Linked DNA regions of Macaca mulatta. The protein of the gene in region 4 interacts with the protein of the main gene of each other region in a pairwise test. Links are inferred from orthologs where the notes say so. Each region holds a gene or a part of one and is shown on either strand. Other genes may lie near its edges. The genes, in order: TASOR2, LENG1, RAB29, LDOC1, NXF1, FXR2 and BYSL.

The links.
Region 1: the proteins of LDOC1 (region 4) and TASOR2 interact in binary tests that used the Homo sapiens proteins (3 or more experiments, as listed by UniProt). The two-hybrid records come from large-scale screens. The link is inferred for Macaca mulatta from reciprocal best matches to the Homo sapiens genes LDOC1 and TASOR2.
Region 2: the proteins of LDOC1 (region 4) and LENG1 interact in binary tests that used the Homo sapiens proteins (3 or more experiments, as listed by UniProt). The two-hybrid records come from large-scale screens. The link is inferred for Macaca mulatta from reciprocal best matches to the Homo sapiens genes LDOC1 and LENG1.
Region 3: the proteins of LDOC1 (region 4) and RAB29 interact in binary tests that used the Homo sapiens proteins (3 or more experiments, as listed by UniProt). The two-hybrid records come from large-scale screens. The link is inferred for Macaca mulatta from reciprocal best matches to the Homo sapiens genes LDOC1 and RAB29.
Region 5: the proteins of LDOC1 (region 4) and NXF1 interact in binary tests that used the Homo sapiens proteins (3 or more experiments, as listed by UniProt). The two-hybrid records come from large-scale screens. The link is inferred for Macaca mulatta from reciprocal best matches to the Homo sapiens genes LDOC1 and NXF1.
Region 6: the proteins of LDOC1 (region 4) and FXR2 interact in binary tests that used the Homo sapiens proteins (3 or more experiments, as listed by UniProt). The two-hybrid records come from large-scale screens. The link is inferred for Macaca mulatta from reciprocal best matches to the Homo sapiens genes LDOC1 and FXR2.
Region 7: the proteins of LDOC1 (region 4) and BYSL interact in binary tests that used the Homo sapiens proteins (3 or more experiments, as listed by UniProt). The two-hybrid records come from large-scale screens. The link is inferred for Macaca mulatta from reciprocal best matches to the Homo sapiens genes LDOC1 and BYSL.

What each region holds. Positions count from the first base shown.
Region 1 is NC_133414.1:7,303,338-7,307,063, reverse strand, and holds part of TASOR2 (protein TASOR 2), read right to left. Parts: intron 632-3,726; coding exon 1-631.
Region 2 is NC_133424.1:66,391,225-66,395,646, forward strand, and holds the start of LENG1 (leukocyte receptor cluster member 1), read right to left. Parts: upstream 2,864-4,422; 5' UTR 2,841-2,863; coding exon 2,709-2,840; intron 1,595-2,708; coding exon 1,415-1,594; intron 155-1,414; coding exon 1-154. Other genes in the region: voltage-gated chloride channel TMC4, read right to left, coding at 3,449-3,517, 3,610-3,688, 3,994-4,149, 4,246-4,376.
Region 3 is NC_133406.1:63,533,418-63,537,592, forward strand, and holds the start of RAB29 (ras-related protein Rab-7L1), read right to left. Parts: upstream 2,908-4,175; 5' UTR 2,878-2,907; exon of another isoform or gene 2,777-2,877; intron 2,597-2,776; exon of another isoform or gene 2,592-2,596; 5' UTR 2,474-2,591; coding exon 2,350-2,473; intron 2,054-2,349; exon of another isoform or gene 1,865-2,053; intron 150-1,864; exon of another isoform or gene 112-149; coding exon 40-111; intron 1-39. UniProt on the Homo sapiens protein: The small GTPases Rab are key regulators in vesicle trafficking. Essential for maintaining the integrity of the endosome-trans-Golgi network structure.
Region 4 is NC_133426.1:147,689,271-147,692,721, forward strand, and holds LDOC1 (protein LDOC1), read left to right. Parts: upstream 1-1,574; 5' UTR 1,575-1,668; coding exon 1,669-2,109; 3' UTR 2,110-2,924; downstream 2,925-3,451. UniProt on the Homo sapiens protein: May have an important role in the development and/or progression of some cancers.
Region 5 is NC_133419.1:11,250,319-11,254,758, forward strand, and holds the start of NXF1 (nuclear RNA export factor 1), read left to right. Parts: upstream 1-1,461; 5' UTR 1,462-1,547; coding exon 1,548-1,575; intron 1,576-2,918; coding exon 2,919-3,105; exon of another isoform or gene 3,106-3,136; intron 3,137-3,290; exon of another isoform or gene 3,291-3,325; coding exon 3,326-3,479; intron 3,480-4,440.
Region 6 is NC_133421.1:9,102,857-9,107,084, forward strand, and holds the start of FXR2 (RNA-binding protein FXR2), read right to left. Parts: upstream 2,844-4,228; 5' UTR 2,694-2,843; coding exon 2,613-2,693; intron 2,280-2,612; exon of another isoform or gene 2,232-2,279; intron 1-2,231. UniProt on the Homo sapiens protein: mRNA-binding protein that acts as a regulator of mRNAs translation and/or stability, and which is required for adult hippocampal neurogenesis. Specifically binds to AU-rich elements (AREs) in the 3'-UTR of target mRNAs.
Region 7 is NC_133409.1:140,243,486-140,247,211, forward strand, and holds part of BYSL (bystin), read right to left. Parts: coding exon 3,636-3,726; intron 314-3,635; coding exon 175-313; intron 1-174. UniProt on the Homo sapiens protein: Required for processing of 20S pre-rRNA precursor and biogenesis of 40S ribosomal subunits. May be required for trophinin-dependent regulation of cell adhesion during implantation of human embryos.

The DNA.
Region 1 (3,726 bases), on a different chromosome or scaffold from region 4:
GGTACTTAGAGCCTTTCTGTCCTGCAACTACTAGAGAGGAAATGTCCCTCAGGCCTTGTGTTTGTGCCTTTTCCGAGGTGGATACAGGATGTCTAAGGCTTGCAGCAGGTGATACTTGCTTAATCAACTCCTTATTAAAGGTTGTAGGTTCATCAGCTGTATTTACAGCTTCTGTCTGTAATGGTACATGTGTATTTTTTTCAAATATGAGAGTAACTGGTTCTGGATTAATCATTGCACACTCCATATTATCATCCTTTCTTTCCAAGGAAGGGTGACATTCATTGTTTATGGGGCTGCCATGTTGGATAAGGTCCTGTAAAGTACCTGTTTTTGTTTGCATTGCTGCATCAGGAACATCCACTTTGTTTTCAAGGGTGCTACACACAGAGCTCTGACATATCACTGGCTGACTACCAGTCCCATCATAAGTCCTGGTGAATGTGGTTTGAGTAACAGTGCCACTGTAAGAAGCCACTCTTGTGCTATCCAGTGGCTGAACAATTTCTTCTTCATTAGGAACAGAGGGTCCATTAGTTCGTGTACTTCCAACACCAGAAAGCGCAAGATTAGAAGTCTCCAGTTTATCTAATGATTCTTGTTTAGCTTCTTCCCCCATTACCTGAAATGGCTAAAGTAAAAAAACAAAAAAAATCAGTCACATAAAATGTTTTTTATACAATTATATGTACATGTGAAGCACAGAAAAGATAAAAATTAATTTTAGTTTGTGAATGTTCTTTTGAATTTTCTAGCTGAAAATATCGCAGGGTACAAATCAAGCAAATCCCTCTTTTAAAGGCAGGCTTAAAATACCCCCAATGGGATTTGTTTTCTTTAAAACCATACACAGAGGAGAACTCCAAAACTTTCTAAACTTTGAAGCTTTTTTCTCTTTTTAAATGAGCTTTTTGGAAGAAAAATAGCTAGACTACTGACAATTTAAGACTTTAAATGCAGCCTGTTTGCTACTTAGCACCACTTAATCCAGAAGTATAGCACTAGAGAAAAAGCATTCAATTTTGTTTTTAATAAATTAGATTATTTTTATTTTTATTTTTTTTAAGACAGGGTCTTGCTTTATCACCCAGGCTGGAGTACAGTGGAGTGATCTCGGCTCACTGCAACCTCTGCCTCCCGGGTTCAAGTGACTCTCTGCCTCAGCCTCCTGAGTAGCTGGGATTACAGGTGCATGCCATCATACCCAGCTAATTTTTGTATTTTCAGTAGAGATGAGGTTTAGCCATGTTGGCCAGGCTGGACTCAAACTCCTGACCTCAAGTGATCCACCCACCTCAGTCTCCCAAAGTGCTGGGTTACAGGTGTGAGCCACCGTGCCCAGCCTAAAAGATAATTTTTAAAAAGCAAAGAATAACATTTTTAACATCCGTTTTCAATTAGACCATAAGTACACTATCATCTGAAACTTTCCCATGAGGCAACACAGTAAATTAATCACTATCCCCTGTACTCAGAATACATTGATTCTAGTAAATAAAGGCCCCTCATCCCTTAGCTATCTTTTTTTGCATAAAACTGGGGATACTTTCTTTCTCATCTTAATACCTCCTATTGTACAGGGCAATTGAAAACTTATCAATGTGGTTTGCATTCATAAACTGAACTAAAAGGAGCTGATTTAAACAGTAGCAAGCAGGATTTAGGTTAAACATTAGCAGAGCTATCATCTCAGGACAGTTCTGATAACCTCATAAACAGGTTGGTGTTTGTTTTTTTGTTTTATTTAAAGCCTCAAGCATGGTCTTGTCCAGCATATGATAAAATGAACTGATGATACAACTGATCATACCTCTGCAATGCTGGAAACACCATGCTTATAAACTGCCTGCCACGTCTTGAAGCGTACATGTTGGAAATCAGGAACTGTGTTCAAAATCTCTTGTTAAAAACATTTCTGTCTTAGGTAGGGCATGGCCTCTCACACCTGTAATCTCAGAACTTTGGCAGGCTGTGGCAGGCGGGTCACTTTAGGCCAGAAGTTCAAGACCAGCCTGGCCAACATGGTGAAGCCTAGTCTCTATTAAAAATATAAAAATTACCCAGGTGTGGTGTCATGCGCCTATAATCCCAGCTACTCGGGAGGCTGAGGCAGAGAGTCACTTGAACCCGGGAGGCAGAGGCTACAGTCTCAAAAAAAACCAAACCAAACCAACAAACCCATCTCTGGCCGGGGCAGTGGCTCATGAGATTCTGTCTCAAACAAAACAAAACAAAACAAAACAAAACAAACAAACAGTTTCTGGCCGAGGCAGTGGCTCACGCCTGTAATCCCAGCACTTTGGGAGGCCGAGGCAGGTGGATTGCCTGAGGTCAGGAGTTCCAGACCAGCCTGGCCAACATGGGAAAACCCCGTCTCTACTAAAAATACAAAAATTAGCTGGGTGTGGTGGTGCATACCTGTAGTCCCAGCTACTTGGGAGGCTGAGGCAGGAGAATCACATGAGCCCGGAAGGCAGAGGCTGCAGTGAGCCGAGATCACACCACTGCATTCCAGCCTGGGCGACAGAGACACCATCTCAAAACAAAACAAAATCTCAGTCCTGTAATCTCAGCACTTTGGGAGGCCGAGGTGGGCAGATCACCTGAGGTCATGAGTTCGAGACCAGCCTGGCCAACATGGTGAAACCCCGTCTCTACTAAAAATACAAAAATTAGCCAGGTGTGGTGGCAGGCGCCTGAAATCCCAGCTACTTGGGAGGCTGAGGCAGGAGTGATTTAATCAGCTGAACCCGGGAGGCAGAGGTTGCAGTGAGCCAAGATAGTGCCACTGCGCTTCAGCCTGGGGGATGAGTCAAGACTTCTTCCCAAAACAAAACAAAAAAACAGAGTCAGAGTCAGCAGCGTGGGGCTGAGACACCAGAGTTTTAAGAGAACAAAGTATTAGAAAAGTCTTGATAGTCAGTGTCCTTCTGAGAACTTTAATGGCCCTCCCAATCATGTGGCTGGTAACGTTTAGCCTCAGTCCTAAATCTCACCATGACTGTACTCTTAGTGAAATGCAAATCGTGACAATCTTGATATATTTATATTTCGATATATTTTTACTGCAGGTAAAGTGTAATGCTTCTAAAATAAAGTCTGATAATTCAGAAAGAGTGCTCAACTAAACACATGACTAGCAGCAACATGCTCTTGGTTTCTAGTGGCTATCATGCCAGAATCCCCTTCACATTCCGGTGTGCCAACTGGTGGAGGGAGTGTGATAGCATACTTGTGTGCCTTTCAAGTACAGGCACAGCATTCAATGAGATGACAAAAAACCAAAACCTATGTAAGTACATACTAAGGAGATTGTTAGGAATCATTGATTTGAACAGTCAGGCTTGCCAAAGTCATTGCTAAAATTAGTACTGATGATAGTTAATTATATATTACCACAACAAATGGTATTTTATAAGAAACTAGCATGTATATACGTTTTAATCTAAACCTCCCTGATTAAACTATATTTTCTTATTCTAAGGTGGTGATTCTTAACTGGATTTTACGTAATTCTTTGAGAACAGGATGGAACTGCTGAACCCTATCTTTAGGGAAAAAAAGCACATACATAGTTAACGTTTAGGTTTTCTAGACTGGAATCTTGGCTTGACAATTTTCTATGTGACCTTAGGCAATTTCTTTACTTCTCTGTGCTTTAGTTTTGTCATCTGTGTAATGGGGAGATTAATAGTCTTTAACTTATTTGAGAATGAACTGAGTTCA
Region 2 (4,422 bases), on a different chromosome or scaffold from region 4:
GGTCCAGACGGCTCTTGATCTTCTCATCTGGGGCTGGGCCAGGAGGGGGCCCCCCTCGCTCTGGGGGTAGCTGGTACCAAGGGGGTTGAGTCTGTGCCTCCGCTGCACTCTGGCCCAGGTACGTCAGGATGCCCAGAGCTTTCTCTTGCCTCTCCTGAGGGGGCCAGGAAATACAAGAGATGGGATATAATCTTTCAAGGTGTCAGGTGTGTCTCCCTGACATAGGAATCTAAGCAAACAGGTACCTAAGGCTTGTCATGAACCAGTTGTACCAGGTGCTGGGGATGGAAGACACCAACAGAGGCCAAGTTCCCCGTGGGGGGACAGTGGCAGGTAACAGCAGGGGAAGGAGGGGACAAGTGGAGCCACTTGAGTGTTCAGAGGCAGGCATCTTTGCAGAGAGACTTGAAGAGAAGCCTGAAGGGATCAAGCAAAGCAGAGGAGCCATGGGTGGGGTCAGCAAGTCCAGAGACAGCAGGTGAGTGACAAGAGCTCATGTACCTGTTTTTTTTTGAGATGCAGTCTCGCTCTGTTGCCCAGGCTCGAGTGTAGTGGCACCATCTCGGCTCACTGCAACCTCTGCCTCCCAGGTTCAAGCAATCCTCCTGCCTCAGCCCCCCTAGTAGCTGGGATTACAGGCACGCACCACCATGCCCGGCTAATTTTTGTATTTTTAGTACAGACGGGGTTTTGCCATGTTTGGCCAGGCTGGTCTTGAACTCCTGACCTCAGGTGATCCATCCACCTTGGCCTCCCAATGTGCTGGGATTACAGGTGTGAGCCACCATGCACGACCAGACATACTTTTTACACTTGATCTTAGCCAAAAGGCAAGAGGCGAATGATTCGCCTTTTTTTTTTTTTCTCTTTTTTTTTTTGAGATGGGGTCTCGCTCTGTCACCTGGGCTGGAGTGCAGTGGCGCAATCTCAGCTCACTGCAACTTCCACCTCCCAGGTCAAGCGATTCTCCTGCTTCAGCCTCCAAGTAGCTGGATTACAGGCGTGCACCACCACACTTGGCTTATTTTTTTGTATTTTTAGAGATACCATGTTGACCAGGCTGGTCTTGAACTCCTGACCTCAGGTGATCCACCCGCCTCAGCCTCCCAAAGTGCTGGGATTACAGGCATGAGCCACAGCTGGCTGATTTACATTTTTAAAAGCCTATCAAGGTTTCAGACCCCTCCAGTTTTGAGAACTGAGCAGTTTGCCTAGCAGCTGGGGACCTCTAGCATCTACCTCCAAGCCCTGTGGGTGCCCAGATGGCAACACTTCTTAAGTGTCATGCTTTGGTATGGTTCTAAATTCTGTGTGTTCGTTCTCGTTTGACCTTGATCACAAGCAGTGGCTAAAGTGCCCTCTCCCCCCAACTCGATTCATGGCTCCTCTAATGAAGTGGGTGAGGCCAGCTTACTTTCTCCTGTCGCTTTTCTTCCTCGTACTCTTTATTGCCTCTGATCACTCCTTTCCCTTCCTCCAGCAGCTCCCGAAACAGGTCCACAGGGCCAGAACTTGGGGCTCCCGCCTCTGCTGCTTCAAGCTCAGGCAGTGAGTTCTGATGTCTGGCTTTCTTTCGTAGGAATTCTGTACGGGCCTGGGGAGAAAGTTATAGGCAGGGCATTCAGAACCTAGAGGTGATTCAAGAACTGTGAGTCTGGTGCCCACCACAGAAAATGGCAGTCCAGGGTGCTGGGGTTATAAGAAAGGGAGCACTAGACGCCTAAAAGAGGCACCTGTCCTAGCTGCGGGTGAGGGTAGGCAGATGAGGCAACGCCTGGGTTTTGTAAACTGCCTTTCAAATCGTAAACCACGGGTCATCAAGGATGGCTGGAAGGAGGTCCCTGGCCTAAACCAAAGGGGTTCCTAACCTCAAGTGAGACAATTAAAACAGCCATAAAGGTAGACCAAACTGCATTAGGCCAGACGATCTGAATTCTAGCCATGGCTCCAAGTCACTACCCCAAGTCGACTGCTGAAGCCCTGTCCCCCGCCTTCGGGACGCAGATTTCAAACAGCGCTCAGCAGCCTACTGAGATTCTAAAAACCCAGACTACCTCCCACCCACTGTGGAGGATCAGACTAGCTAAGGAACTGAAAGTTGGGTGTACACCAAACAGATTTAAGGAGCCATACAGAAAGCCCGTGTTTGTGTGTATGTGTCTAGGGGGCGGTGCAGGAAAGGGCTCGCCCGATGGCGTGGAGCCTGGCTGTCCCCCTCTCCTTAAATGTGCCTTCCCCTCACTGAAGCCATCTCACTCCGTGCAACGGAGATGACAGTGCCCCTCTAAGAACGAACAGTGCCTCCTGGGGATTCCGCAAGTCAGGCGCTCTGCATGTAGTTAGCATACAATAGGTGCTCAATAAATAAACTGCGCAGGCAAACTAAAACGTGATCCGAATTTCCTTGAACTGTCCAAGCGCTCATGTATTCATTAAATGTTTTTAAGCTGCTCTTTTGTGCTAGACACTGTTCCAGCCATGTGAAATACATCAGTGGGGGGAAACTAAGACGAAGGCGAGATCAAGGGAGGTTTCGTGGAAGTGGCCACAAGGTTTGCAGAGCAACGTCCTCGAAAACGGGATCGGCGCCTGGTCCCGAATTTCACACGGGGCACACTGAGCCTGCGCAACGCCTCCGCTTCCGGCCCCCAACCGCGGCGCGTGCGCGCTGGGCTCCGGCGGTCAGCCCGGCCGGCCTCCGAGCTTACCTCTTGCTGAGCCAGCAGCGCCCTCCGCTCACGCTCCTTCTCCTCCTCCCGGGCCTGGGCCTCGTCACGCCGCACGCGGGCGACATTGTCCTTATTCCGGACGTGCCAGCTCTTCTTGGGCAAGATATTCATGGCGTCGTAGCTGTCCAGGGACTGGCACGCCCGCCTCTTTGCACTTCCGATTGGCGAGAGGATGCCCCCCTTCCTCTTGTCCCTACTTCGACCGCAGATTGGTTCCGAATTAGTTGGTACGGCCCCCTGGCCTGTAACGACAGGTGATTGGCTGAGACGTCCTTTTCACAGCGAATGTTAGGCGTTCGGCTCGTGGTATCCCCTAGCAACCGCCTCTTATCACAGATCTGAACCAATCATAAGTTGGCCCGCCCCGATGCTACCACATGCGGCCGTCGATTGGTCGACATGACCGTCAAGTCTCCTTGCGGAAGTGCGCTCCGCACCGACAAACATGCCCATACATTTGATTGGCTCCTGCCCTGCGGTAGCCCTGCCCCCACCTTCAGGACGCAGATTTCAAAGCGCGCTCAGCAACCTCGGCTGTATTTATTGATACAAGAAAGATCACCCGAGAGTCAGGGACGTGGCGGCGAGGGGCCCTGGAAATCTCCAGATATCAAAGCTGGAAGGGCGTGGAGTCTTCTCCAGTTCTCCTAGTTTACAGATGTTGTGACCTAGGCTTACAATGGGCCTGGGGTCTGAAAGTGGGGCGTGAGCTGCGGGGGTCAAAGAGCCGGTTCGGTGGAGGTCAGCGCCACAGCGCGCCGTGCCAGGAAGACTTTATTCTGCGCCTCCTGCGGCAAAGAGAGGTGGAGGTGTGACAGCCCTCTTCCCCAGCCCCTCTCCGTGTTCCCCGGGGGCCCTCTCAGGGACCCGCCTGGCTCACCGTCTCCCTCTGACGTTTGAGCTCAGAGATGAGGCGTCCGTAGGAGTTAGCCCGAGCCACAGTGTACGCCATCAGGATGCTGGAGGAGACAGGAACGGAAGCCACTCCTGACACGCTCTTCGAAGTCAGGGATGTGGACCCCTAAGTCCCTCCTCGTCCAGGCTCAAGGAGTTCAGTCTCCCAGCACCTCCGCGTTCAGATCCAGGAGTCCTAAGTCCCGCCCACCTCCTCCTTCGGACCCAGCAGTCCAGGAGCCTAGGCCTCCTCCCTCAGACTCAGTACATTGCCTGCTCCCACCCCCAAGCCTTTCCTCTCTTGGACGCAGGTGGTGGCCCCCAGATCACACGCATTCAAACCCAGACCCAGAAGTCTGGTCCACCTCACCTGGAGATCAGCAGAAGGGGCGCAGCAAAAGCCTGGGTCCCCAGGAAGAAGAGGAAGTTCTGGGTGGTCTCAGGGAGGCTGGAAATAGACTCAGGGATCTGGGCCCAGATGGACGACTGCCCCCGGAATGGACCACACGGCTTAGAAGGCGGGATCCTGAAGTCAAGACAGGCTGGGTTCAAGTAGAGCCAGGAGTCTGAACACTGAATGGGGGGAGAGGGAGGGAGAGAGGCGGGAACCTCTCGCACTTACAGGAAGATGCTGTAAAGCAGGGGAACGCTGGAGATGGCCAGACCCAGGAGAAGAACCAAGGGGAAAAAGAAATTCGCCGTGGAGGCCCGGAAGGTGCGGGCAGCCGGAGAGCAGGTGGAGAAGAGGGTAAGCTGGTGGGGGTAAGGCACGGAGAAAGGGGATCTGAAACACAAGAAT
Region 3 (4,175 bases), on a different chromosome or scaffold from region 4:
AATTTCTTCCCTCGTTCCTATCCAGCCCTCCCACTTTACCTGCAATATCCCACAGCTGAAGTCGCACTATCTCGGAGTCAGACCACTGGAGAACCTTCAGAGCAAAATCCACTGAAAATATATGTACATTATACCTTAATAAAATTTCACTGTAAAAAATGAATAGGGATAAACTCAAATCAAATAGGCAGTGACAACCCGATGGACACACAACTCGAATCCCATGTTTATCTTTAAGCCCTCAATTCACTGAGATGAGTCCACACGTGTGTATTAAGTGTGAGATGGATGGTTCATACTCACTCTCCAAAGGGGTTTCCAGCTTTTACTCTCCTGTCAAGCTCATCTGTTTGCTACTACTTGTCTCCAAGACTGGGGGTGGGAGTAACTATGAAAACAACTCTCATTCTCAGGTTAAACAGTTTCTGGGAGATTTAGGGGGTTTTCTCAGGGAAGGGGTGATGGGGGAGAAGGGGGAAATGAGACAAGTGTGGTTGTTTCTGTATCTTCCACATTCAATTTCACTGCTGGTTTCTAATCAAATTGTATTATGAAAACAACACACCCTGGGGAACTCTACATCCACCATAAGGTTGCAGGTATTATCTTGGGCAAGAATGGAATAAACGGAAAAGGTCCCAGAGGAGTCCCAAGAAGACACTGTGTGGATGTTGCTGAAGAGTCCTGCTGGAATCTACCACAAAGTCTGCAGATGCTGAGACTCCTTAAGGCTAAGTATTCCATGGGGAAAAGCTTTTGGCTAAGGAGAGAAACACAGTAATTTCTGAGGTTTGGAAATATTATCTTTCACATCTGTAACAGGAATCAAAACTAAGGGAAATTTAGACTAAACACTGAAAAAAAAATTAGCCAGAGTCAATTATATTCTTTGCTAAAGGAAAACTACAGCAATTGTTAAAAATTAACTATTAATAGAAGGCCAATTTTAACCCAAATCCGTGAAATAGGGACCCTTATATTATTTAGGAGTGGAAGGGCAGAGAGGTCAGGATAGTGTGTCTGAAACTTTGAACCTTTAATTTTGCCAGACTTTAATGTTTTGTTCCTTTGTTTTTGAGACAGGGTCTCACTCTGTTGCCCAGGCTACAGTGCAGTGAGTGGTGCGAACGGGGCTTACTGAAGCTTCGACCTCCTGAGTTCAAGCAATCCTCTAGTCTGAGTTTCCGGAGTAGCTGGAACCACGGCTACTTTTTTCTTTAATTTTTGTAGAGGTGGGGTCTTGCCATGTTTCCAATGGCTGCTCTCGAACTCCTGGGCTCAAGCAATCCTCCTGCCTCAGCCTCCTAAAGTGCTGGGATTGCAAGTATGAACCACTGCACTGGGCCCTACTGGGGGTTCTTAAGGAGAATGTTTTAATTGCAATGTGAATGCTTAATTTCTTTTTAAACTTCCGTATGAACAGGAGCACACATTTTCACTTTTTCCATTGGTACGTTTTTCTCCCCTTAAAACAAGTTCTTTTAAGAGAGAAAATTTTAAGTTACTCTCCCCCATCACCAGCTCTTCCTAAATACCTTCTAATTAACAATAAGGCATTTCTACCTCTGAAAAAATAGTTGAGTAAAAAAGCCATACCCGGGAAAGAAAGGAATGAACTCAGTGTTCTCTTCCTCCCTACCTTCTTCAGTTTGAGGAAAAAGTGGTGGGAAGATAGGTCAGAGAAGTGGTATATTTCACATTCTTCGAAGAATTCCTTGGTTACTTTTATTTAAGCAATCAACGGACAAAAACACAGCTCATCAGCCCTCATGGGCATCTGACTGCGTAGCCAAGGGGCTCGTTTGGGGATTTTGTGTCTTCCATCCCACCCACAGCCCCACAACAAAGCTAGAGTCCTTCAGACCAGTTCCGCTTCCTGCGTTCTCCCACTGAAGCCAGGTTAAACACCTTGCGGTTCCTTCCTCAACAGAGGTGCAGAACTACAGCCCCAGCCGGCACCTAACCAGGAGGCCCCCAGAGGATCTCAGCTGCTTCTGCTGATTGGAGAGATGCCAGACAGCTGAAAGGCTGGAGACTTGAGTTCACAGTGCGCCTGCAATAAACAGCAATTGCTTATCCTCATCCTCCCTTCCCTATTTCTCATCTTCACGCCTTTGTTCTTACCGTTCTCCTGGCAGTGGGGTCAGGTTGGGAAAAATCTAACTGGGGAAACTCAAGAGAGGCGTGTAAACGAAACACCCGGCAATTACACCATCTAGGTTCCCAGACAGTACTTCCTGACCCGAAGAAGGACCCAACAACCGACAGCAAATCCGGATCCCACTTGGGTCCCCAGCTCGAGTCCGCGGTCGAGGCCTCCTCCTCCCCCTCCCCCGAAAGACGTCTCACCTCCCACCGTGGACTTGTAGTGTTTGCTGAAGCTGTCCTGGGAATATCGCTGCACCAGCGACGTCTTGCCCACTGCGGCGTCCCCCACCACCAGAACTTTGAACAGGTGGTCGCGGCTGCCCATGGCTAGCGGGGCGTGCGTTTTAGGGAGGCGGGAAGTGGGGGAGTCGCTTGTTTTAACCCCTTTGGCTCCGGACCCTCTTCAAACTGAAGTGGGCATTCCCACCCACCGCCTGTGTGGGCTGCTCTGACGAGAAAGCAAAAAAGGAAACTTTGCACTCAACCTATACGTGCTTCCTCCCCCGGCGGCCGCAACCTGGGTGGGGCGCAGGGCGCAAGCTCCGAGCCCCCGGCTGTTCGCACCTTCCCCACCCCCTCCTGGCCTGACTGCCGAGAAACGGGACCAGGCGCCTCGGAACCTCCCCACCAGGACTTTCCCGGAGCGGCTGCGAGTCAGTGACTGAATCCCAGTCAGCTCATTACACCACTGGGGCCAGATGATGAGGACCCTCCCCTTGCAGCACATACCAAATTGTCAGGAAGGAGCAGCCGGTACCTTTCTATTCCCTAGACGTCGTCCCGCGCCTCTCTCTAGCCTTCCTCCGCCAGCGTCACGTGCAGGGTTGCCTGGAGCACTACATTCCCCAGCTTTCCTCGCGGTAAAGAGAACCAGCCGAGTGCGGAGGCTCACCCGCGAAGCCTCCTGGGAAATGTAGTGTATTCTTTTTTTCGTTTTAAGCCAACCTACACAAAGTTTCAAGGCTTCAAAACTCCTTCAACAGTTCGGAATCTTATTCTGAAACAATTCTGGGTCAGTTAAGATCACTTAAGAGGAGATTTGTGCAACGTGATCTCACTGGCCTGAATCCATCCCCACATAGTCTTCTCCTGTCTTTAAAGGTTTAACGGAGTTAAGATTAAAACTTATTTCGTTAGTAAAAGTCCAAGCCTCATCCATAATGCTCCAAGTGAAGTCCATTTCCTATTCCTTCAAATAGATAGACAAGCCCAGGACTTTGTGAAATGACTCATATTTTCTGTATGAACTTGCCCAATACCAGGCAAGTTCAGGAAAACTTGACCCAAGAGACCATTCTTTGGAAAAAACATATGCCAAAAGTTACAGCATTTAATATCCAGCAATAACAATAAAGATAGACAGAAAACAAGAGACAGTTCCCCATTCATACTTCTGCAATGCCTATTCTAACCATACTACTCATGTATCACTTGAGGTAGAGGCTAATTGAAATACACTGGGAATCCTTCTCGATTCATTGTGGCTGTTGTTAATAGATAATCATAAAACTAGTGTTTGGCAAATAATTTTAATTTTTCAGCCTGAAACTTTACTGACCTGCCTGTCACTTAGGTAGGAGTTGGCAGGACATGAGCTCAATGGCAAGCAAAGAGAGCTCCATTTTCTAGACTTTTTCTAGAAACAGAAGAAAAGAACCAGCAGGACCATGGGAAAACAGCCCAGGACCAGACACTATGAAATCTTACCTAGGTCTCTTGATAGAGAGGCTATCACTTATGTTTTGTGGGGAAAGAACATCAGCGTGGTTCACAATATATTTTGCCCAGAATGTTTGTTACTCAGGTACAGGAGGTTAGGCCAGGCTACTCATCTTTAAGGATCCAATTTTCTCTGTTCCTATTCGTTTTGACATATTTGACCACTCCTTGACATTTGTTTCCCTTATGCCTTCTATGACACTGCTCTTTCTTTGTCATCCCCCTACTTCTCCGATGATTATCCTTTTCTTTCAGGTTTTTCGCCATCCCATTTCCCTCTAAGTATTTCCTGAAGCTCTATTCTTGGT
Region 4 (3,451 bases):
GAGAAGGGATAGAAGGTGCAAAGGCTATGAAGCCAGAACTGCTTGATGGGTGTGAGAATCAGCAAGGAAGACAGTGATGAGAGCACAGCAGAAAATGGGAAGAGGCACAGGATAGAAGGAGGGGCCTTGTAGGCCTTGGCTGCAACTTTGCTCTTTATTCTGAGGTGAAACTACTGGAGGATTTTGAGCAGGGGCGTGAAGGGATCTAACTGTTTTTTGTTTGTTTGTTTGTTTGTTTTTGTTTTTTTTTTTAGAGATGGAGTCTCGCTTGGTAACCAAGGCTGGAGGAGTGCGCTGGCGCTATCTCGGCTCACTGCCACCTCCGCCTCCCGGGTTCAAGCGATTCTCCTGCCTTAGCCTCCTGAGTAGCTGGAACTACAGGCACCTGCCACCACGCCCCGCTAATATTTTGTATTTTTAGTAGAGACAGGGTTTCACCCTGTTAGCCAGGATGATCTCGATCTCCTGACTCGTGATCCGCCCTCCTTGGCCACCCAAAGTGCTAGGATTACAGGAGTGAGCCACCGCGCCCGATTCCTGTGGCTACTCTATGGAGAATATACTATAGGAAGAAAAGAGTGAAAGCTAAGTGATTAGTTGCAGCAGTCTGGGTGAGAAAGGCTGGGGATCAGGGTGGCAGTGGTAGAAATGACAAGTCATGACTGAATTGGCAATATATTTGAAAGCAGAGCCAACAATTCCTGTCGGCTCTAGGGATCCGTTTAAAGTAGAAAAACAAAATTATTTAAAAACACAAACATCTTAACAGTTCATTTTTAAGTACAGAATAAAACCCAGTGGCCAAAGGCACTAATAGCAGGACAAGAAATAGAGAATCAAAGATATGTGGGATGCCTGCAATTGATTATTGGATGCTGATTTTGCAAAACTTCTTTATATCCTGCTACTTAGGTTTGTTTTTTTTTGTTTGTTTGTTTTAAGGGAGTATGCCATATTATTCCCCTACTAAAGAAGTCACTGTTTAAATACTGCCTTTTTCATGAAAGGCAGGAACCCCTGAAGGTCTTCATGATCCTAAAAGGAAGTGTGAGTCCCACAGTGCAGCCAGCAGTGTCAATACTTCTCTGAGTGAGATTTAAACAAGAAAGAAAATGTGTTAATAAAACATCACGCCAAGAGAATCTAGTGGCCACAGACCCACGAAGGAACAACTGAGTTGTGAGAGTTGCCTAGGTAGAAGGGTGGCTAATCCTTTCAGTTTGAACAAATTTGCCTTCTCTGAGACCAAACTCAGCGCTCGCCAGGTCCTCTGCTAACGCAGGCCCCACAACCAGGAGCTAGGGGAGCCTACCCCAGCCTTTAACTGCCCGCCTAGAGACCTACCACAAGCCGGTGGTTCAGCGACCCAATGCATCCTTTTCCTGGCCACGCCCTCTTTGTCTAAACCCTTCCCATCCCGGCCACGCCCCCACGCAGCCGCGGCCGCCAGTCTGGCCACGCCCCTCCCGCGCCGCGCCGGCGCACCATCCGTCCGAATGGCCTCGTGGGCGGAGCTTGCGTAGCCTCCCGGACCCCGGCGCGCACCGCCCCCCGCCCCCAGCCCCTGGCCATCGAGCGTCTCCGTGGACACGCACTTCCTGCGAGGCCTCCGTGCGCACCTTGGCCGAGCCGAACCGAGCCGAGCCCTGTCCTTCCAGGCTGTTCGCAATGGTGGATGAGCTGGTGCTGCTGCTGCACGCGCTCCTGATGCGGCACCGCGCCCTGACCATCGAGAACAGCCAGCTCATGGAACAGCTGCGGCTGCTGGTGTGCGAGAGGGCCAGCCTGCTGCGCCAGGTACGTCCGCCGAGCTGCCCGGTGCCCTTCCCCGAAACGTTTAATGGCGAGAGCTCCCGGCTCCCTGAGTTTATCGTGCAGACAGCGTCTTACATGCTCGTGAACGAGAACCGATTCTGCAACGACGCCATGAAGGTGGCATTCCTAATCAGTCTCCTCACCGGGGAAGCCGAGGAGTGGGTGGTGCCCTACATCGAGATGGATAGCCCCATCCTAGGTGATTACCGAGCCTTCCTCGATGAGATGAAACAGTGCTTTGGCTGGGATGACGACGAAGACGACGACGACGAGGACGAAGAGGATAATTACTAGGCCCTCGGGCCTCGGGGGGAGGGCCCTGCACGCCGTCACCCCCTCCCCGCAGCCCTCACCCCGCCAGGAGCCAGTGCTCTCCCCCTTGCCCTCCGGTCCCCTTCCCTACCCGCGCCCGTCTGCTCTTTCTTCATTTCTCCGTAGTGCTTGTCTTTGTTCCAGGAATAGTGCTCCAGTTACCTGCTGCTGGGGTTGGGGCTGGAGCCTCACTCACTCGGAAGTGCTTGGAAGTGTCATCTACCCTGGCCATCCCGGGGATCCCTCCCCTGCTAATCTGAACTGTGTCCTGAACCCCAGCTATTGGCCAGGCCCCTGTTACAAACTGCGCAGACCACCCATAGCCCTGCTGCTGCCACCTGCCCTGCTGCCAGGCTTACATCTGCCCAGAGAACTATGCTGCCACTTCACATCCACTCACCACATCCCACCTACAGACTACCGCCTTTCGAGATCAGGACCAACCTGGAAAATGCCAGAGTTGGCTCTGCCTCTTCGGACATTGATTTGGACAGCTCACCAACCCCTGAAGAGGCCAGTCATTCAGCCTGGTTAGTTTTCTACCTACTCCGAGTGTCCTCCCCTGCCATACCAGATTGCTGCAGGGGCGCGGTGTGCCTGACAGCCAAATTGTTGATATTTCTTTTTTCCTATGCACTGGTTTTACACAGCTGTCATTTTTCTTTCAAAATTGCAGCAGTCCCACAGATGTATGCATTTGGACAAATAGTACTAAAAACAAAACAAACAAGCACTCAGCCCAGCTCCTCAATACTACCTGGAAAAAGCATTGGCATTATTTTCAATAAATATCAAGCACTAAAAAACGAAATGATTGTCTTTTAATAGTTAAGTGCTATCACTGACCTCTAGAACTGTCACTGTGACTACCGTTATTCCCATGGAAATCAGGGAATACAACCAATCCTAGGAATCCCTGCTGTCAACTCCAGGCTGCTGGGGACAGCTACCTCAGGGCTTTGTCAGGGTTCTGATGCTTCCTTCACCAACGCATTTCTTAAAGCCCTGGCAAAGGGTGTGTTCTCTGGGTCCTCCAGGGTGGCATGGGTAAGGGTTGGCTGAGCAGATGGCAAAGAGGGCAGTATTAATAATTAGACCGTAACAACAGGCATAAACCAGGACATATATATGTATTGCTCCTAATTCTCTGAGCTTTTGGATTCCTTAATATTGTGCCAGGGAAGTTCTGCCCCTTAATCCTTATTGCCTATATGCAGCTGTTGAGTTCAGGCTCCAGAGAGCCAACATAGTACATTGTCACTTTCAAACTCCAAATAGCCAACATGTCACTTACAGGTGCTCTAGCTAACATTAAGTCCCAGAT
Region 5 (4,440 bases), on a different chromosome or scaffold from region 4:
AGCCTCACTAGCCATGTCATCATTTCTGGGTGGGAGCGTCGAAGGGCCTAGGCAGCGAGTGGAGTGAGCCCACTGCCCAGTACCAGAACTGAAAGGGTTGGGCTAATGGCTGTGCCAGGTATCACTGCTGAGGCAGGCTATTTTGGGCTCTGACACACAGCTGCCTCTAGACAGGGGAGAACCAAGTGTTGCAACACTTGATTAGCATGGAAACTTCCTTTCACACAGAAGCAGGATCCCAGAGGGGGTCCCTGATTGGTGGCAGCTTCCAAGACCATCTCAAACAGTGTTTGGACCTGTTTCATCTGTATCCTCCAACTATTTGGCCGTAATTCTTCCTTGAGCTAAGCAAGGCAGAAGCTCTGCCTGCTGCCAGGAGTGGAAGGTGAAGAATTTGTTCCCAACTCCAGTTGAGGCTTTTGATTCCCTCAAAGCACTTCACCAAATCAAAGCCAGTCACAGAGAATGGAGGAAACACCTGCCCAAAATACCCACCGTCCAGAGAGATTAATGTGCTTTGTTCTTCCTGACCAAGACTCGCAACCACATTCTGAGGACGCTCCAGTGCCCCTGTCTCATACATTCCAAAGGAAGCTGAAGCTATAGAGACAACAATCAATCAGGGGCTGATGGTGGTGCTTTTGGGGGTCTAGGAGAGCCCAAGGCCCTGATATTTTAAAATGTCCTCCTCCTCGGCATCTCCAGCAAGTTGCCACTGCTGGTGAGCTTCACTGTCTGCCCCGTTGACACGATGGGTTTCTAACAGGGGACGCCATTGATGGAAGGTCTGTGAAGACAATGCTCGGCAAACCCCTGACAGATGTCGTCTCATTTGACTCAGCAACTCAGGGTGGGGTGGGGGAAATTCACAGAATAGAAATTCATTTATTTCACAAATACATGTTGAATTTTTACTATGTGCCAGGCATAGTACCTGCCGAGTCAAGCCCTCGAGGGAAAAAAAGCCTTTAGTCAACGTTCGAGCTCACATTCTAATTCTCAACTTCGTGATTTGTTAATCCATCTTATAGGCGAAGAAAGCGAGGCATAGACAAGGAGCCGAGCTGACACACTGGCTAGATGCGGGTAGGGGTCTGAGCCATCACTCCCACCCGGAGGCGCGGTCTCCATTCCTCGGAAGCCCTTGGTACGGCCCCGTTCCCCGCTGAGTTCTGGGCTGCAGCGGCAGCACTCTGCTCTAGCACTAACTCAAGCTGCCAGGGCAGCGTCAGCGGACAGATGAAAACATGCGGGGACCTGCTGGCTACCAGCCGGGGTTCCGCAAGCTCAGGTCTTGGGCGGGGCGCGGAGGGTCAGGCCCCGCCCCTCGCACGACGGCCTTAAGTGTGCGCACGCGCAGGGGGTCGCGCTTTCTCCGGGCGGCGACACCGCCTCCAGCCTGGGACGTCAGCGGCGCGCGACGTGCTTTGCTATATAAATGCGGTGGCGCCCGGCGTAGGGACACTTCGGTCCTGAGTGCTTGGGCGTTCGGTCGTTTGCCGGCGTAGCGGCCAGCGCTTGAGCCCGCCCTTGCTCTTCGCTGTGGCATGGCGGACGAGGGGAAGTCGTACAGCGGTCAGTGCTGGTCCTCGGGTCGGGAACCGGCTATCTGGGGCGCGGGTGGGCGGCGCCGGCCTAGGCCTCAGCCTCCGGGGCGTGAGGCCGCCAGGGGCCCGACGTCCGCGGGGAGCGGCGCGCGGGGGGTCGGGGGCACTCGAGGTGGATTACCGAGTTGTTGACTCCTGGATTCCTCCTGGAATCCTGGTGTTGGGGGACCTGCGGCTCGGAGCGGGTGGCTCGGGGGTAGGGGGACGGGATTCCTTTGAACTTTGTGGGTGGTTGATGCCTGTCAGTTCGGTTTGGCGGCCTGACTCTTCCTTTAATGTGAGTTAGTGCCCTACTCATGGGCTGCCCTGGTGCCCTATTTTTTACTGCGTCCAGTCGGTCTTGAACCCTCGGGCCTGGGCTTTGGCTTAATATTCGAGACTTACACATCAACTGGATGTTCCAGTCTGAACACTACACTGGGTGTTAGTTCTTTGTAGTAGTTAGGAGTGCATGGTGGAGGTTGAAACCGTGAATTTAAAACTCTCCTCTTCCACCCCTTTAAAGTGGAATAACAACAGTATTTCTTAAGAGTTGGGGGGGAAGTAGGGGGGAAAATGAGATCATTCCTATCAAGTGCCTGAAGCATAGTGGCCGGTACTGGAGAACAGTTCTCAATGAATGTTAGCTGCGCCTTCTGTGTTCTTTTTTCCTAGGGTCATTTGTTGAGATTCATTGTTTACAGAGTGCTCGGTATTAGGCAGATCTCTTTTGGGAGTTAGGGACCCTTTTTAAGACGCTAGTCCTGCACAGCATGAATCAGATCATATTCCTGGAGAGCATTCCAGGGTCCCTGGTTAAGCACCCTAGCCTGGCACTACCACTAGAGCCTGAGTCTAGAAATTGTCTCCTGAGTTAAAGGGCATTTCTGGCCAAGGAATCGAAGAGCTCCTCAGAAAACTTCAAAGTGGCAATTTGAGAACAAGGAGAATTTTTAGAGGATCCTTAAACTGATCATATTTGTAACTGGCATCTGTACTGTATAGACAAAGTATTGAGTGGCAGATTTCAGGTGGCTTTCAGAGGTCTGATTTGTGTTCACTTACACTTTGGGGTCTCACATTTATACATTCTGCTTCTAATTCCAGTTTCTACTTCATTTTTCAAAAGCCCTGCACAGATTTCCAATAACTTTTCCTTGATGCTGACCTCCCACAGAGAGAGTTCTTTCCTGTGGACAGGCAGCGGAGTTTGCATGGAGATGGCCTGTGTAGTTAGTATGTATCTCTTCCAGTAGTTCAGAGTAGAAACTATGATTGCCACACCAAGCCGGACCAGTTACTTCTAATTTGTGTTCCTGTTTCTAACTCCAGAACACGATGATGAACGCGTTAATTTCCCTCAAAGAAAGAAAAAAGGCCGGGGTCCCTTCCGGTGGAAATATGGTGAAGGAAACCGTAGGTCTGGAAGAGGCGGTTCTGGTATTCGGTCTTCCCGCCTGGAGGAAGATGATGGAGATGTGGCAATGAGTGATGCCCAGGATGGTCCCCGAGTACGATAGTAAGTGACCAGTTGGTCTGGTTTGAATTTAGTGGCTCATGAGATTATATGGCCCTTTTACTGTCCATGTCATTTTCCTTCCCACCTGTTATAGTGAGAAATGCCAGGACTAGCTTAGCGATTGAACAGTCTTAGTTTAGTCCCGCCAACACAGTGCAGGAAGGTCTTTGAGAAGACTTTCCTAGCATTTGTGGTCATTTTATCCTCTGTTTACCCACAGCAACCCCTATACCACCCGACCTAACCGTCGGGGTGATACTTGGCATGATCGAGATCGCATTCATGTTACTGTGCGGAGAGACAGAGCTCCTCCAGAGAGAGGAGGGGCTGGCACCAGCCAGGATGGGACCTCAAAGAACTGGTTCAAGATTACAGTGAGTACTTTGAGCAAGTAGATGGTACAGTAGAGATCGGAGGCCACGCTCAGAGTAGAGATGTTTAATTTTATTCCACAAAAATTATTCTTTTTTTTTTTTTCGAGACGGAGTCTCGCTCTGTCGCCTAGGCTGGAATGCAGTGGCCGGATCTCAGCTCACTGCAAGCTCCGCCTCCGGGGTTCACGCCATTCTCCTGCCTCAGCCTCCCGAGTAGCTGGGACTACAGGCACCTGCCACCACGCCCGGCTAGTTTTTTTATTTTTTAGTAGAGACGGGGTTTCACCGGGTTAGCCAGGATGGTCTGGATCTCCTGACCTCGTGATCCGCCCGTCTCGGCCTCCCAAAGTGCTGGGATTACAGGCTTGAGCCACCGCGCCCGGCCTTTTTTTTTTTTTTTTTTTAATGGAATCTTGCTCTGTCATCCAGGCTGGAGTGCGGTGGCGTGATCTCGGCTCACTGCATCCTCCGCCTCCTGGGTTCAAGCGATTCTTCTGCCTCAGCCTCCTGAGTAGCTGGGACTACAGACACCCACCACCACGCCCAGCTAATTTTTATATTTTTAGTAGAGACAAGGTTTCACTGTATTGGCCAAGCTGGTCTTGAACTGCTGACTTCGTGATCCGCCCGCCTTGGCCTCCCAAAGTGCTGGGATTATAGGCATGAGCCAGCGCGCCCAGCCCAAAAATTATTCTTGTTAGCTGATTACGCCATAGTCAAGTATCTGTCTCTTCTCCTAGGAATCAGTATCTTCCAACACCTTAGAGCAGGTTCAGAGAAGGGGTGGAAGAGAAATACGAAAACTGTGGTTGTGGAAGGAGTAATTCCTCTGGATGTCTTCATTTGGCTCAGGCTGAGTATGGGGCTTGGAGTCCATGAAGTTCTCTGAGGGACAGGCAAGGTGTAAATAATATCTTGAAACTTTTAGAATAAAAAAAATTGATTTTTTTTTTTTTTTTTT
Region 6 (4,228 bases), on a different chromosome or scaffold from region 4:
ATATTAAATCAGCAGCAAGGTCAAAACGGATAAGTATCTATAGGGTACTGAGAGTGGAAGATTAGCCTGAATTTAGGGATTTGTGGTTTTTAACTCAGGAACGGGGCAGAAAATGCTAACCTGCCCAGATCCACATTACCACATTACCTGGCTTTCAGCTCAACCCCAGACTCTACTCTCTGAATCAGAGTATCCTGGTCCCGATGTACTCAAGTCTATCATTGCCCACAGCGCACAGGAGAAAGGGAAAAGATTCAGAGAGACTTTCTGCTGGACACTTATATGTAGAACAGAAAACGTGTCCCTTCCCAGCCATCTCATACAGTTCATTTGAACTGGATACCAATCTTTCCCAGCTGTGCAGGGCTCCTGTGCTTCCTAGAACAAAGCAAACATCATATCTTGATCTTGGACTCAACTTAAGAATGACTTTTCTTGGAACTCAGAATTTTGGGGTGGTAAGGACCCAGATGAAGGAAAAGATACCGAGGGAAACAGGGAGGGCCACTTTAGGAAGCGTATTTCAACAAAGGTAGTACAAGTTTGGGGAAAAGGATATGAGAGACAAATGTGCTCTATCAAAAGCAGAAAGGAATTAGAGACTTTTGCCAAAAAAAACAGAAATGCTATGGAGGCAGGCTAGAAGAAAAAGTCCCAAGAGTTAGGCAAGTATGCAGAAAATGACAAAAGAGATCAGCAGGGAGCTTCCTTCAGCTAGACAGGGAATTAGGTGATCCCTGGGGATTACACAGGAATACAGAAGTATTAGGAGAAAAAGCCAAAAACTTGAATTGAAACAGTAAGTTAGACATGGGTACCCAAAGTCACCGCACAGAAAGAAATCTGATGAGGGAAGTAAGGCAAAAATGGGTAAGTATGAAGAGTAAGTAAAAAATGACTACAATGGCGCGGTGGCTCACGCCTGTAATCCCAGCACTTTGGGAGGCTGAGGCGGGCAGATCACAAGGTCAGGAGATCAAGACCATCCTGGCTAACACGGTGAAACCTCGTCTCTACTAAAAATACAAAAAACTAGCCGGGCGTGGTGGTGTGTGCCTGTAGTCCCAGCTACTCAGGAGGCTGAGACAGGAGAATGGTGTAAACCTGGGAGGCGGAGCTTGCAGTGAGCCCAGATCGTGCCACTGCACTCCAGCCTGGGTGACAGAGCCAGACTCCGTCTCAAAAAAAAAAAAAGACTACAATGAACTTAGCAACTGAAGTAGAGGCAGAAACCACCCAAGGGAAATTACAAGACCCTCTACAGTTACAGAAAATATGACTTAGGGAAGGAGTCAAAGAAAGACACTTCCAAGGGCATGAGAAACTAGAGAGGGCTACTGTGGGGGGGAAAGGCCTGAGGGGAACAGAAGGAAAGGGGGAAGGGGGATCTACTCTTAACAAGTAATGCCATGGGAAGGTATCTCTTCTACAGCTCCCCAAGGTGAAATCAAAGAATGAGACAGAAATCAGGAGAGTCTCTGGGACAATTCCAGGCATCAAATCCAAAAGAGGTTCAGAATAGCAACAGTCAAAGAAAAACTCTTGGGAGGCAAGAAAGGGTTCTCTCTGGCTTAATCCAAATGGGAAAAAAATGTCCTAGAAAATGGATTCAGAGCAGATAAGGAAGGTGGTATTATAAGGAGTTCTAAGGAACCAAATCCTGGGCAAAGGGGGAGGTCAAATAAGGAAAGGTCTTTGAAAGATGATCCCTTCTTCCAAAAAAGGTTGTCAGATTCCCGAACTGGGATAGTTGGCCAAGAGTCTTCAAGAAGTGGAAATCTTAAGAAAAACAGAAGGGAACCCCATGAGCTTCCTTTTAGAGATCCTTTTAGAGATCATGACTATGAAGCTCACATGCCTCAAGACGAAGAAACTCTAAGAATGACCTGAAGGTATCTGAGGTCTAAGTGAGACCTCAAATCCATTCTGAGTAGAATGGTAACCAGTGGGCCTTGAGATCAAGGTGTGGTGGGGTGAAAGACTTGCGAAAGATGCCACCTTATGGCTGGCTGAGAAGCAACTTGACTGATCCAACCCAGGGTTCCTGAGGTCAAAGATGCCAAACGTCGTAAATGGATCTGACCATTTCTCCTTGGCTTGGGAACCGGAATATAAGCTGAAAGTGGGGTGAGTGTTCCAGAGTCAGTAGGCAGAGGCCTCTCTGAGGAAGATGAAAGGATCCGATATGGGACAGAGGGGGCCTTCCCAAGGGGACCGTGCAGAAGAAAGACAATTCTCCATGTGCCTGGACCGTGGGGAAGATGTGATTAAGGTCTAAGGTATGTCTTCCATCAGACAACGGAAACAGTCAATTAGAAGCTGGGTAAAGGGGTCTCTCCTGGGGAGCGGGGAGCGCCAAGCCAGGGACAATAATGGCCTTAAGTTCATTCTCCCTGAGATGGGGGTAGAAGCAGGTGCATTAAAGGGGTCAAAAATAAAAGGAACAGGTTCACTCCAAGAGGTCTCTCAGGGAAGGCTGCGGGTGGGAGCAAGGGTCTAAGATTCTAAGGGCCAGGACTCAGCTCCAGAAGCTCGATCCCGCCCCACGCGTTCCTGCTCCGGCCGGGGGAGGGGGCTAAGGACCGGCGTCCCCAGTCGGCGCGCCGTCTCACCTTGTAGAAGGCCCCGTTGGAGCCGCGCACCTCGACGGGCAGTCCCGGCTCCACATCCCCCCCAGAGGCCAGGCCGCCCATGGCGCCGCCACCGCCTCCGACTCCCCCGGCGGCGGCTGCAGCAGCAGTCTGAGTGCGGGCCGGGCCAGGCCCCCGGCGTCTCCCCGGAGGAGGAGCCGGAGGGGGAGCCGCGGGGGGCGGGAGCCGGGCCGGCCCCACGGCGGCCCTGCCACAGCCAACGAGCAGGGGGCCGGGGCCGGGCCGCTCCCCGTCCGCCGCCGCCGCCTTGGTCTCCGCCACCGTGAGGGAAACGGCCGCCGCCGCCGCTGCCTTCGTCACCTCAGCTTCCGCCTGCCGCCGCCCCCGCTGCTGCCTCAGTCCCGGGACCCGCTGCTGCCGCTGCCGCTCCACAGCCTCCACCTCCCCCTGCCACCGCCTCCTACTGCGCAGGCGCACCGGGCACCCGCCCGCTGCGCGCGGGGCCCCGAGGGCCACGGCGCAGGCGTCAAGGTTAGAGCCCCAGCTAGCGCTAGCCAGCGCATCGGGGCTTCCACATTCCCTTTCACTCTCTCACGCCCCCTCCTGGTCGCTTTCTCGCGCTTGCGCAGAACAAAATTAGCCTTCTTTCTCCACCGCCCCACCGCCCAGCAGCCCCGTCTCTTCCTTTCCGCGCCCCACAACCCTGAGAACCAACCAATCAGAGGGAGGGAGGGGCCGGGCTCGCTCAGTCCGATTGGGCGGCGGCCGCACTGTCACACAGCGCTCAGGCCACACCCACGCCGCCGCCGCCTGCCCCACCGGGCTCGGACAAGTTAGGGATGGGCATGCGCCTGAACGACTGCTTGGTCACTTTCCCCACCTTTGTCTTTCTTGGTGCGCACGCTCCAAAAAAAAAAAGAAGAGAAGTCGCCGCAAGGAAAAAGGTGCTCGGTGCGCACGCGCTGAGCTTTACTGTCTGCGCGCATGCATAGCCTATCTTTTAAGAATTTGTAACTGTGCTGTAGTAGATTTAAGTCATAGCTCTTGCCTTGAAGAGATTGTGATACAATGAAAGTTTTGGCCAGGAGCGGTGGCTCACGCCTGTAATGCCAGCACTCTGGGAGGCCAAGGCGGGTGGATCACCTGAGGTCCTCGGATCACCTGAGGTCAGGAGTTCGAGACCAGCGTGGCCAATATGGTGAACCACCCCACCCCCGCATCTAATAAAACACAAAAATTAGTCGGGCGTGGTAGCACGCGCCTGTAATCCCAGATACTCGGGAGGCTGAGGCAGGAGAATCACTTGAACCTGGGAGGTAGAAGTTACAGAGAGCCGAGATCGCGCCATTGCACTCCAGCCTGGGCGACAGAGCAAGACTCCGTCTCAAAAAAAAAAAAAAAAAAAAAAAAAAGAAAGAAAGAAAGAAACGAAAGAAAGTTTTAAGAATAGTAGAATAAGACCGGGCGCGGTGGCTCAAGCCTGTAATGCCAGCACTTTGGGAGGCCGAGACGGGTGGATCACGACGTCAGGAGATCGAGACCATCCTGGCTAACACGGTGAAACCCCGTCTCTACTAAAAAATACAAAAAACTAGCCGGGCGAGGTGGCGGGCGCCTGTAAGTCCCAGCTACTCGGG
Region 7 (3,726 bases), on a different chromosome or scaffold from region 4:
CCAAGTCATTTACAGGCAGAGCAGGAATCTGAAACCACACACTCTGCCTCTTAGGTCTGTTTTCTACTGCCATGACTTCTTTAGTATGAGATGCAGGCAAAAGGCAAAAGCCTGTGGCGGGAGCCCACAGCCCCCAAAGGGGTCTTCCACTGTGGCTCCCCTCTCAGCTCTTACCTCCCGGACCCCCCTGTAGACTTCTAGGACCCGGGGGTCCAGCTGGGGCATAGGGAAGCCCGACACCTCTGACATGACTGTCTCAACCTCTGTCTGCTTCTCAGTCAGCTTCTCCATGATGATGTCAGCCAAGGTGCGCCTAAGAGGGGAAGTGCCAAGGGGAGGGGAGAGAGGAAGGAAGGAGCACTGTGGTCACTGTCCAGGAAGCTCCAGATTCCCCACAGTCCCTTGTGAGCACTGACATACTGCGATCCTGCTGGGATGCGCAGCTCAGAGTTCCCTCTCTGTGCCCATTCATCCACCACAGACAGAATCACTGCAGGGTGCAAAGGAACTGAAAGTCATTCCATTTAGGACAAAGCTGGCAGTTGTATGGAGGTTATTATGAATCTCAATTCTGAAATCGGTCTGCCCAGGTTCAAATCCTGGCTTACCCACTCCCTGTATGATCTTGGGCATGTTACTTTACCTCTCTATGCCTCTGTTTCCTCATTTGTAAAATAGGGATAATAACGGTACCCACCTTAAAAGATTAATGGAAGGATTAAATAAGTTAATGTCTGTTCATTACTTGGAACGGTCAGTACACAGCAGTGTATCTATGGAAGTATTTCTAAAACTGATTATGTTCTTTTCAGCTTCCTTAAACAGAGTATTGTTGGGTATATCAAACATTATCTTAATGATTCAGCATTACTATCACCTTGAGCTGTCATATAATACCAGTGCCTTCAGAGGCTGCTGAAGTGTATTTATTTATTTTTTTTTGAGACAGAGTCTAGCTCTGTTGCCCAGGTTGGCATGCAGTGGTACCATCACGGCTCACTGCAGCCTCTATCTCTCTGGCTCAAGCGATCTTCCTGCCTCAGTCTCTCAAGTAGCTGGGACCACAGGCACATAGCACAAGGCCCAGCTAGTATTTTATTCTTTTTTTTTTTTTTTTTTTTTGAGACGGAGTCTCGCTGTGTCGCCCAGGCTGGAGTGCAGTGGCCGGATCTCAGCTCACTGCAAGCTCTGCCTCCTGGGTTTTTACGCCATTCTCCTGCCTCAGCCTCCAGAGTAGCCGGGACTACAGGCGCCCGCCACCTCGCCCGGCTAGTTTTTTTTTTTTGTACTTTTTAGTAGAGACGGGGTTTCACCGGGTTAGGCAGGATGGTCTCGAACTCCTGACCTCGTGATCCGCCCGTCTCGGCCTCCCAAAGTGCTGGGATTACAGGCTTGAGCCACCGCGCCCGGCCGTATTTTATTCTTTTGTAGAGATGGGGTCTCCCCATGTTGCCCAGGCTGGTCTCACACTCCTGGGCTCCTGCCTTGGGATCCCAAAGTGCTGAGATTACAGGTCTGGGCCACCATGCCCAGACTGACATGTATTTTTTTTTTTTTTTTTTTTGAGACGGAGTCTCGCTCTGTCACCCAGGCTGGAGTGCAGTGGCCGGATCTCAGCTCACTGCAAGCTCCGCCTCCCGGGTTTACGCCATTCTCCTGCCTCAGCCTCCCGAGTAGCTGGGACTGCAGGCGCCCGCCACCTCGCCCGGCTAGTTTTTTGTATTTTTTAGTAGAGACGGGGTTTCACCGGGTTAGCCAGGATGGTCTCGATCTCCTGACCTCGTGATCCGCCCGTCTCGGCCTCCCAAAGTGCTGGGATTACAGGCTTGAGCCACCGCGCCCGGCCGTATTTTATTCTTTTGTAGAGATGGGGTCTCCCCATGTTGCCCAGGCTGGTCTCACACTCCTGGGCTCCTGCCTTGGGATCCCAAAGTGCTGAGATTACAGGTCTGGGCCACCATGCCCAGACTGACATGTATTTAAAGCTCCTCAGTTGGGTGCAGTGGCTCGTGTTTATAATCTCTGTACTTTGTGAGGCTGAGGGAGGTGAATCACGTGAGGTCAGGAGTTTGAGACCAGCCTGGCCAACATGGTGAAACCCCGTCTCTACTAATAAAACAAAAAGTAGCCAGGCGTGGTGGTGTGCGCCTGTAATCCCAGCTACTCGAGAGGTTGAGGTTGCAGTGAGCTGAGATCACACCACTGCCCTCCAGTGTGGGTTACAGAGTGAGACCCTGTCACAAAACAAAACAAAAAACAAACTGCTCCTCTTTTCTGAGGTCCTACTCAACGCCAGGCACTGAGTCTGGGACTTTTCAGTCCCAGAGTCAGTGCAACACTTATAGGACATGGAAACTTACGCAGACATGGCAACTGGGCCTCACAGCCGTCAGGTGGGGTTAAGAGTCAAACTCAGGTTTTTGAAAGTCTTAAGTTAAGATGCTTTATAGTACCTTATAATGTGCCCCCAAACTAAATGGCCTCTGATTGTTGAATTCATGTGGATCTAGGCTTGCTTTCTGAAGACGCCAGCTATCATTTCTTACAACTGCCAGAAGTTCTGATTACTTCAAGGAGCTTGTCTATTCTATTTACTGCAAGCTGGAAAAGCATTCTGCTAAATTTGTCAGCGTTATCAGTGAAGTAGGAGTTATGAGGTGCTGAATGAGAACCTGAGAGGCTCTCTGGTGGGACAGGCCCGAGTACGTATTTTGTGACACGTATTTCAACTGTTAGGCATCAATCTGGGAGAGGAGCTCATTTTTATTTCTTCATTCTGCATTTTCAAATAAGTTGCCACAGAATTTATCAGCCTCCTTGTCCTTTTACAGTACAATTAGCAATGAGAGATGCATTAACCCCAAACAGTCTAAAGTATCAGGGACACCATTATGTTAGTATCACAGGGTCAGAATGAACTGGTTGAGGACCCTTATCCTAGACTCCACTCCCCACGGCCAAAATTTATGGGCTCAGGAGTTTGACCACAGGCAGTCTAAATGCCTGCATGTTTTGGAGCCAGCATTTATTATAGATGGGAATAAATTAGTGGTCCTAACTGGGAGCAGTCTTGCCTCCCAGAGGACATTTAGCAACGTTTGATGTCATTTTTGGTTTTCATAATTAGAGGGAAGGTTGCTACTGGAGCCTAGAAGGTAGAGATCAGAGATATCTACTAAACATCCTACACTGCACAGGATAGCCTCCACACACATATAAAATTACCCAGCCCAAAATGTCAATAATGCTGAGGTTGAAAAACCCTGGCTTAAATGAAGCTTAGGATATGAACACTTGTCCAAGGAAGTTGAGCTTACCACTAAAAAAACCAAGAATACCAAAACCAGATGCAATAGGATGGCTCTCCCCAGAAGTATAAAACGGGCCTGGAGCTGTTTCCCTGGCAACTGGGCAGTTGTACAATAAATGGACAGAAGGATACAATGTTTTCTGAGGCTGGGTCATTCCCACTCACAGTGGTCTGCTGAGGATGGGCCAGTTTTGTCAAGGTGGTCCCCTACAACTAGCAACTCCAGGGCCCTTTCCTAAAGTAGGGAATCGTAAGTCTGCCAGGGAACTTGTTTTCCTGTGGGAACTTTCTACAAGCACCCATTATCCCAAATCCCCAGACCTACCTGGCAGGAGGGTTCTTGTTCATGAACATCTCTATGGCACGCTCATCCTCAGGGTCCACGACCACCTCTGCATGGTGGCCCACCCCTGTCA